Linked DNA regions of Xenopus tropicalis. The main gene of each other region encodes a partner of the protein of the gene in region 2 in a complex. Links are inferred from orthologs where the notes say so. Each region holds a gene or a part of one and is shown on either strand. Other genes may lie near its edges.

Evidence for each region.
Region 1: the proteins of hcrtr2 (region 2) and hcrt are in contact, whole or in part, in a cryo-EM structure (PDB 7L1U), measured with the Homo sapiens proteins. The link is inferred for Xenopus tropicalis from reciprocal best matches to the Homo sapiens genes HCRTR2 and HCRT. Residues at the interface, in NP_001371201.1 of Homo sapiens: Thr111, Val114, Trp120, Pro131, Gln134, Thr135, Val138, Gln187, Val209, Cys210, Asp211, Phe227, Thr231, Ile320, Ser321, Asn324, Lys327, Arg328, Phe333, Ala334, Thr336, Arg339, Val342, Tyr343, Phe346, His350, Tyr354; in NP_001515.1 of Homo sapiens: Asn89, His90, Ala91, Ala92, Gly93, Ile94, Leu95, Thr96, Met97.

What each region holds. Positions count from the first base shown.
Region 1 is NC_030686.2:6,727,956-6,732,302, reverse strand, and holds the start of hcrt (orexin), read right to left. Parts: upstream 3,068-4,347; 5' UTR 2,888-3,067; coding exon 2,867-2,887; intron 1-2,866. UniProt on the Homo sapiens protein: Neuropeptides that play a significant role in the regulation of food intake and sleep-wakefulness, possibly by coordinating the complex behavioral and physiologic responses of these complementary homeostatic functions.
Region 2 is NC_030681.2:96,131,084-96,135,559, reverse strand, and holds the start of hcrtr2 (orexin receptor type 2), read left to right. Parts: upstream 1-1,520; 5' UTR 1,521-2,069; coding exon 2,070-2,334; intron 2,335-4,476. UniProt on the Homo sapiens protein: Nonselective, high-affinity receptor for both orexin-A and orexin-B neuropeptides. Triggers an increase in cytoplasmic Ca(2+) levels in response to orexin-A binding.

The DNA.
Region 1 (4,347 bases), on a different chromosome or scaffold from region 2:
ATATGATTGGTGTCTGGCAAGTAATAAAGGGGTGGTTCGCCTTTAAGTTAACTGTTATAGGCATCTTTTTATTTGGTCTTCATTATTTTTTATAGTTATAATTATTCCTTCTTCCAACTCTTTCCAGCTTTCAAATGGGGGTCACTGACCCCTGAGCCAAAACCCTATTGCTCTGTGAGGCTCCAGTTTTATTGTTATTGTTACTTTTTATAACTTATCTTTCTATTTAGTCCCTCTCCTATTCATGTACTAGTCTCTCATTAAAACCACTCCCTGGTTGCTAAGGTAACTTGGACCCTAGCAACCAAATAGCTGCTGAAACTCCAGACTGCAGAGCTGCTGAACAAAAATCAAAATAACTAAACTACAAATAATAAAATCATAATAAAAAATAATAAAAAATAATCACTCTCTACATCCTACTAAAGGTTAACCCCTTTAAAGTGATAGTGAAGACACAATATGTATAAAGGCCAAGATTGTGCCCATAGAACACAGTATTTATAGCAGAGTCAGTGAATTAATATATCATTAATAACACACGGAGCTGCAACGGAAAGAGATTCGGGGTGTATGAACCGATATAGAAAATATTGATGTTTGTAGGCGCAACTCATTGCAGCCTCACTGTGTAGGTGCTGGGGGTACGGGGCAATGGGGGTACGGGGCAATGGGGGTATGGGGCAATGGGGGTATGGGGCAATGGGGGTATGATGGAATGGGGGTACGATGGAATGGGGGTATGATGGAATGGGGGTACGATGGAATGGGGGTACGGGTCAATGGGGGTACAATGGAATGGGGGTATGTGGCAATGGGGGTACAATGGTATGTGGCAATGGGGGTACAATGGAATGGGGGTACGATGCAATGGGGGTACGGGGCAATGGGGGTACGATGGAATGGGGGTACGGGGCAATGGGGGTACAATGGAATGGGGGTATGGGGGTACGGGGCAATGGGGGTACGATGGAATGGGGGTATGGGGGTACGGGGCAATGGGGGTACGATGGAATGGGGGTACGGGGCAATGGGGGTACGATGGAATGGGGGTACGGGGCAATGGGGGTACAATGGAATGGGGGTATGGGGGTACGGGGCAATGGGGGTACGATGGAATGGGGGTACGATGGAATGGGGGTACGATGGAATGGGGGTACGGGGCAATGGGGGTACGATGGAATGGGGGTACAATGGAATGGGGGTATGGGGGTACGGGGCAATGGGGGTACGATGGAATGGGGGTACAATGGAATGGGGGTACGATGGAATGATGGAATGGGGGTATGGGGGTACGGGGCAATGGGGGTACGATGGAATGGGGGTACGATGGAATGGGGAATGGAACATGAGTTTGATCCTAAAGCTCATTATTATTTTATCTTATTGCAGATAGAAAGCAGGGGAGTCGTTACACTGACATTTATGGGCCAATGCCCCAAACATTACATTACTATATATGTCTATATGTTTCTCATCCCATTAGATTGTAAGCTCTAAGCACCGGGACCCTGTCACTGCTAATCCCTCCTGTCTGTACTGTACAGCATTACTTATAGCGGTGCCTCTATATAAACTGATCTGTATCTCTGTCTCTCTCCATCCATTCCTCTCTCTCTCTGTCTCTCTCTCTCTCATCTATATCTATCAGTCTGTCTGTCTATGTATCTATCCTATATATCTCTCTCTATGGATGGACTGAGCTACACCAGCCTGACACTATACAGAAACACTCTCTGCTGAGGTTTTGAGGGCAAACACTGCTCCTGAGTAAAATGCCTGACACAATACAAACAGAAGAGAAATAGACATAATGTTGAATATGAAGTCTCTGAAGCTGCAGTCACTCGCACATTTGCTATACGTTCTGGGCCATTAGAGATCACTAGATCCCATACAGCAGGTTCCTGGTTGGCTCCTCAACAACCGGTGCCATAAAGTTTATAAACTTGTTCCCACTTACTGCCCTGGCAGTACTATTGCCCCAGTCAGTATCAGGGTAATTAAAATCCCCCATTATTATCACTTGCCCCAAACTAGCAGCCTTTTCTATTTGCCTCCCCCCCTTCGCTTACATTAGGGGGGCTATAGTAGCGAAGCACTGAATCCCGGATTCCAGCCCTTTTTTTATGGATTCGTTTTCGGCCGAATCCACGGTCCTGGCCGAACCAGTTCGAGATTTGGATAATCCATAAGGGGGGGTTCGGGGTATCCCTAGTCTATAGCATACCCCTAGAATTAGTTTGGATGGTTAGACTCTTAACCATCTGTGAGACGCTCAGCCCATAAGGATTCAGCTCCCTCTGTTAACCCCATCACTTCTGCCTTAATATTTGCAGTTAATTCCTGCTTAATGAACAGACACTCCCCTCCTCCTTTCCTATTGCCCCTGTCCCTCCAAAACAATGTATACCCCCCAATATTACCCACTGCACCCTCACCCCCCTCCCCCAACCCTCTAGCCACCTTCTCCCCCCCCCCCCAACCCTCTAGCCATCTTCTCCCCCAAAGCAGCTGCCCCATCATCATCGAGGTGCCCCCCATCCCAGGCAAAGAGCCTGAGAAATCAGCCCAGTTCTCCAGAACCCCAATCTCTCAGCCGGGGGTTAATCTCCCTGAGTTCCCCCTGCCCGAGGCACAGGGAATATCTCTGAGAAAATTACCTTGGAAATCCTCGCCCTCAACTTATTGCCTAGTTTTTTAAAATTGTTCTTGAGGACCTCCCCCCCTCCTCTAACTTTGCCATTGGTACCTATGTGTACCCCCAACCGCCGGGTCTTCCAATGGGTCCCATACCTGTATATGAAAATAAATCTCCCTTCTATGGATCCCAATATCAGGAAGGTTCCCCTACTCCGTCCCTTACCTTCTCATTTAGAGACTCCATCGTTCCGGGCGCGTGTTCTAGAGGCTCCGTACCTTCCCCTCGGACCGGTAGATCTGAGAAGATCTGAGCATCTCTCTCCGCTTTATATATACGGATCCCTTCATCAAGAAATGCGTCTATTTCGGGGGGCCGGCCTTCGCTACAAAGCTTGGGGGAACATTGTACAAAAGGAGCATCATTTTAATGAATTTGGTGGCGCGACGTCTCTTGGTGACAAAAGGAGGCTCGTCAGCCCCCAATACTCCAGCCTGCGCCATTGTCCTCTGAATACGTATTATTACCATGAGTTACCCGGCGTTAACAAGGAGCCGCCACCAGTGGAATTTCACCGGGATTCTTACAGACATTTAGGCCAAACATGAGTAGGGATCATAATGATTCTCATTAACGACTTAACGACTCGGACATTGTTACCCACTGCGCTCGTTATCATGGGACGCGGTTATTAGACTAATGAGCTTTCTGCTTGGAATGTTCTTCAGAAAGGCCTCCATAGCGATCTGGGAAGGAGTCATGGCGTCTCAATGGCCGAGCTCTAGGCAACTATTGGGTGTCAGCAAATAAAGGCATTCGGGTCTCGCCCTGCTAAAGAACCCTTTACGGAGTTAATTAATGGCTTCCAGATAAAGGGACTAATACGATTCGATGAGGCCAACGTATTTATAGCAACGACGTCTTCCTCACACAGGGAGGGTTAGTTAATGGCATATAAATGGCTTTGGGATACACAGAACTCAGTGTGGCCCCTACTGTGGCCCCCCACCACTTGCCTGAGCTAAGGGGGCCCAGCCTGAAGGCCAGTTAGGGGGGGATTTGGGGTGAGTGCTTATTTGTGCCCTGGGTACCCCTGGAACTATAGCAGGGTGACTGTTACCCCAATGTTTCTATATATCTGTAACCTTGTTATGGGCTAAGGGGGCCCAGCCTGAAGGCCAGTTAGGGGGGGATTTGGGGTGAGTGCTTATTTGTGCCCTGGGTACCCCTGGAACTATAGCGGGGTGACTGTTACCCCAATGTTTCTATATATCTGTAACCTTGTTATGGGCTAAGGGGGCCCAGCCTGAAGGCCAGTTAGGGGGGGATTTGGGGTGAGTGCTTATTTGTGCCCTGGGTACCCCTGGAACTATAGCGGGGTGACTGTTACCCCAATGTTTCTATATATCTGTAACCTTGTTATGGGCTAAGGGGGCCCAGCCTGAAGGCCAGTTAGGGGGGGGATTTGGGGTGAGTGCTTATTTGTGCCCTGGGTACCCCTGGAACTATAGCGGGGTGACTGTTACCCCAATGTTTCTATATATCTGTAACCTTGTTATGGGCTAAGGGGGCCCAGCCTGAAGGCCAGTTAGGGGGGGATTTGGGGTGAGTGCTTATTTGTGCCCTGGGTACCCCTGGAACTATAGCGGGGTGACTGTTACCCCAATGTTTCTATATATCTGTAACCTTGTTATGGGCTAAGGGGG
Region 2 (4,476 bases):
AAAAGAGATGCAAGATGAGATCCTTTTGTTTTTACCGCCTAAAGGTAGGGGAGTTGTGATTGGTAGATGGTTGCTGGGGGGATCATGTGGCAGGTTACATGGACAGGTTTCAGCTATTGGTTAAAATGGGTAAAAAAGGGGATCAGGTGACAGGTCAGAGCTCTATATAAAGGGGTCCCCAGATAAGATGTCCCTGAAGATCTCCAGGGTGACAGACTTTGTGGCAGCAGCAGATAAGGAGTTGCCCACCCTACCTTCCCTATATTAAAAGAAAAATTAATTCTGAAAAAAAACAAAATTTGTTGCAGCTTGGAGGATTGTTGGTGTTAATAAATTTGGAAAGCAAGTTCTTGAACTGGGGCTTCCAGCTGGTGGTGTGGCGGGAGCTGGAAAATTAATAAAGGCGGTCTGTCAACAGCTGTACATGGGCTGCCCAGGTAAGAACTATTATGCTCTATGTTTGTGTAAACAGTTATGAAAGTTGATTTTTATATGGTCATATGAAAATGATTGTAATGTAAAGTTTTAAAATAAACAAGCTGTGGCCTTCTCCTCCATCAAGCAAGTGTCAGTGTCTGTTTGCCCTGCTTACCTATGCCATGTCCCCACTGGCTGATTGCATTCATTGCTCTGCACAATAGTCCTTTCTGTGACAGCTTCCTATAACTCCCAGGGGGAATCTGCATATGGAGCTGCATGTTGTTTTCACCTGTGGAGTTACATTAATGTTAGGTGTTTGCAATATTATTGCATATTGGACTTAAGGAGTTTTAGTACATTTTGGGTATGTTTGCGGTTTACATCCCACCAAGGGGCAGATTTACCAAAGTGTGAAATTAGAGCTTACTTTATCCTTTAGGAATGAATAGAAAGTGGGTGAATATTACCACGGTGAGCTCTAATTTCACACTTAAATAAATCTGCCCCCAAGTGCTAACATGGAAGTGTTCAGGGAAGAAGGAAAACTGTAACATACTTACCATGATTTCCCTTTCCTTCTTTTCAGCATTTCACTTTTGTAAGGAGTGAGAAGAGTTTTCTATCATCTCTCTATCTCTCTCACTCGGGCCCAGATTTGTGACAAGGCTACAAAGGCCAGGGCCTAGGGCGACACAAATTTAGGGGAGGCATGCCACCCAGCCACACCTGGACTTTGCTCACACTCAGAGCACTGGGGACAGGACACACAGAAAACTTCAGTGCGCTCGTCCTGTCCCCAGTACTCCTTATCTCCTTATGTGAGCTAAATGGATGCGCATGTGCGTTTCCGAGGGCGATGTGGGGGGGGGGGTGTCGGGGGGGGCAGGGAATTGGAGCGTCTTCTGGGTGCCCTCATTAGAAATCTGGCACTGCTCTCTCTTTCTCATCTATCTATCTATCTATTTATTTATCGCTGTCATTTATCTATCTATAGCTGTTCATCTATCTATCTATAGCGGTCATTTATCTATATATAGCTGTCATCTATCTATCTATCTATCTATCTATCTATCATCTATCTATCGAATGCACTCTAGCACAGTGAAAAGCTGGGGCATTAAACTAGAGGGGTATAAATGGTGACACAAATAAACTAGCAGAAAAAGCAGAAATAGGTAGCGATAAATGGTTTCAAAAACAGAACAGTTACAGCTTGTGCCAGGATATCATCTATGGAATAACAATTTTAGGGTTTCTATTATTAGCTGCAGCCAGAGCATGAGAGAGCTATAATTTTTATGGATTTTTATTAAACTGAATGAGCACCAAGTCCCCGTGGCTTGATAATATTAGGACCCTGGAGCAGAGACTGATTCATGCTCAGCACAAACCCCACCCTCAAGGCTGTTCGGGCTTTTGTGTGACTTGAGTGTTCTCACAAGGTAGCAGAGAGGATGTCAAATCCCAATGAAGGTTGTGCCTGCCCGGAATGTGTGTGTGCTTCATGTGAAGCTGCTGAGGCTCTGGCAGCAGGCACCTCTCTCCACTTGTTCCAGCTGTTAGCAGAGTGTGCAGGACAAAGTGCTCCATGCATCGCCTGCTGCTCTAAATCTGCAGTTATCCATGCCCCTCTAATTATTACTTCATGAATGTTATCACCAGAGAGAAGCACCGGGAGCCGCCAGATGAACAGCAGCATGAAAGGAGCCAAACTTGATCATCTACTTTATAGGAACTGGTCTGAGCAAGATGTGAATGGGACACAGGAGCCCTTTCTAAACCCAAATGCTGATTATGATGATGAATTTCTACGCTACCTTTGGAGGGAGTATCTGCACCCCAAACAATATGAATGGGTGCTAATCGTTGGCTATATCATAGTCTTCATCATTGCTCTTATTGGAAACATACTAGGTAAGTAATACAATAGAGATCATTTCCTTTAGCTGAATGGAATATCAAACTAAAGAGAAACATTGTTGAAGTTTGCCTGTTTCCCATTGTCATTTACATGCATAGAAGATTGATAATGGTACATAGAAATATACTGGTGCCTGAGCAATAGAAGGCAAGTTCATTCCTTCATCTAATTTCTAAAGATAAGTTTGGCTATATATTGGACAGATATAATAGATGATATAATAGAAAATGTCATGATTGTGCATTGGGGATTCTTAAATAGATTATATTCCACTGCAGCAAGAAATGACAGGACTGCTCAGGGCAGTTGGGAACAGTGAAAACTGAATATCATACTGTGGGTATCTGAGACAGAGACTGGTTACTCTCTAAACTGTGTGCTTATTATTGGTTATATTTTATAAAACATATATATTATATATTGTTATTATTGTTTTGCACTGTAAAGCCACTTTTGAAAAGATAAAGCAGCATTAGCATAACTTGTACTTGTATCCAGTGAGATAATAACATAAATGAATGAGTGAGAAAATCCATCTTTTCTGACACCCTAGAACAGAAAAGTCCAGGTACTGTAGTCTTTTGGTTTAACTGTGTAACTGTGTCTCCCAATCAGAGCTGATCCAGTGCACTAGATATCCACACTAGATGTTGCTTGCTCAGATGGGCTACCTTTAGAAAACTTGATCTCGTACAGCCTAATGGTCACATAGAGGCATACTGTATGGTGGCAACATTGACCCATCTCTGTCCAGAGACCTTGTGTAGAACTACCTGTTTTACTGAGTCAGCAGTAATCCTGTAAACACTCATGAACGTAATCCACTGTAATCCTGCAGATACATATGATCATAATCCCCTGTAATCAGATACTGTAGAACATGTAGCAATGTATGTACATAATGCCCAGCAAGCACATTATCTCTAGCAAGCAAATACAAATAATGTAACCCTAACAATTCCCCTTTTTTCAAGTAGATAATTCAAAGTAACACTGCTTGCACAAGTGGAACATAAACCTTAACAATCCTTCAGCAACTTTCACATAATATCCAGTAATCTGACAGGCACCCTGGTACTTAACACCCTGCAGTTGTATTGGCATATCTGCATATTATGCCTAGTGAACCCCCAGTAATTCTTCTAGCAAATTCACATACACAAAAAACCACTAGTACACCTACATGTGGAATTATAAATATATTTCCATATACATACTAGCATATAATACCTAGCAATCCCATGTAGTAATCCTAAAGGTGCCCTGACACATAATATCCAGTATTCTCATATGATAGTTACTATATAATCTCAAATAATCCTACAGGCACCTTGACACATAATCCCCAGTATTCCCATATGCAAATTACTATGTAATCTCAAATAATCCTACAGGCACCCTGACACATAATCCCCAGTATTCCCATATGCAAGTTACTATATAATCTTAACTAATCCTACAGGCACCCTGACACATTGTCCCCAGTATTCCCATATGCAAGTTACTATGTAATCTCAAGTAATCCTACAGGCACCCTGACACATAATCCCCAGTATTCCCATATGCAAGTTACTATATAATCCCATGTAATCCTACAGGATCTCTGACACATAATCCCCATCCTACAGGATCTCTGACACATAATCCCCAGTATTCTTATATGCAAATTATTATGTAATCTCACATAATCCTTCAGGCACCCTGACACATAACCCCAGTATTCTCATATGCAAATTACTATGTAATCTCAAATATTCCTACAGGCACCCTGACACATAACCCCAGTAATCCTGCAGGTCTGTAACCCCAGCAAACCTAAGAGTACATTGGCACATAACCCATAGCATCACTTTAATTTAGCAGCCAGTATATAAGAACACAACAGCTTCATACATTCTTCTTGAAACTGACAGGCAGTATGTTATATTGCAGTTATATGCCTATCTTTATGCTGGCACCCAGTATACGTTTATTTCAGTTATATGCATAGTGAAAAAAATTGCAGATAACTCATCAATTTGACAAATTTATGTCTTCATCTTTCCACTGGCAGCCAATATATAATAATGTCAAATGTAGATGTCCAACTTTATACTGGCAGATAGTATGCAATAATCCCACAGTTATATCCATCC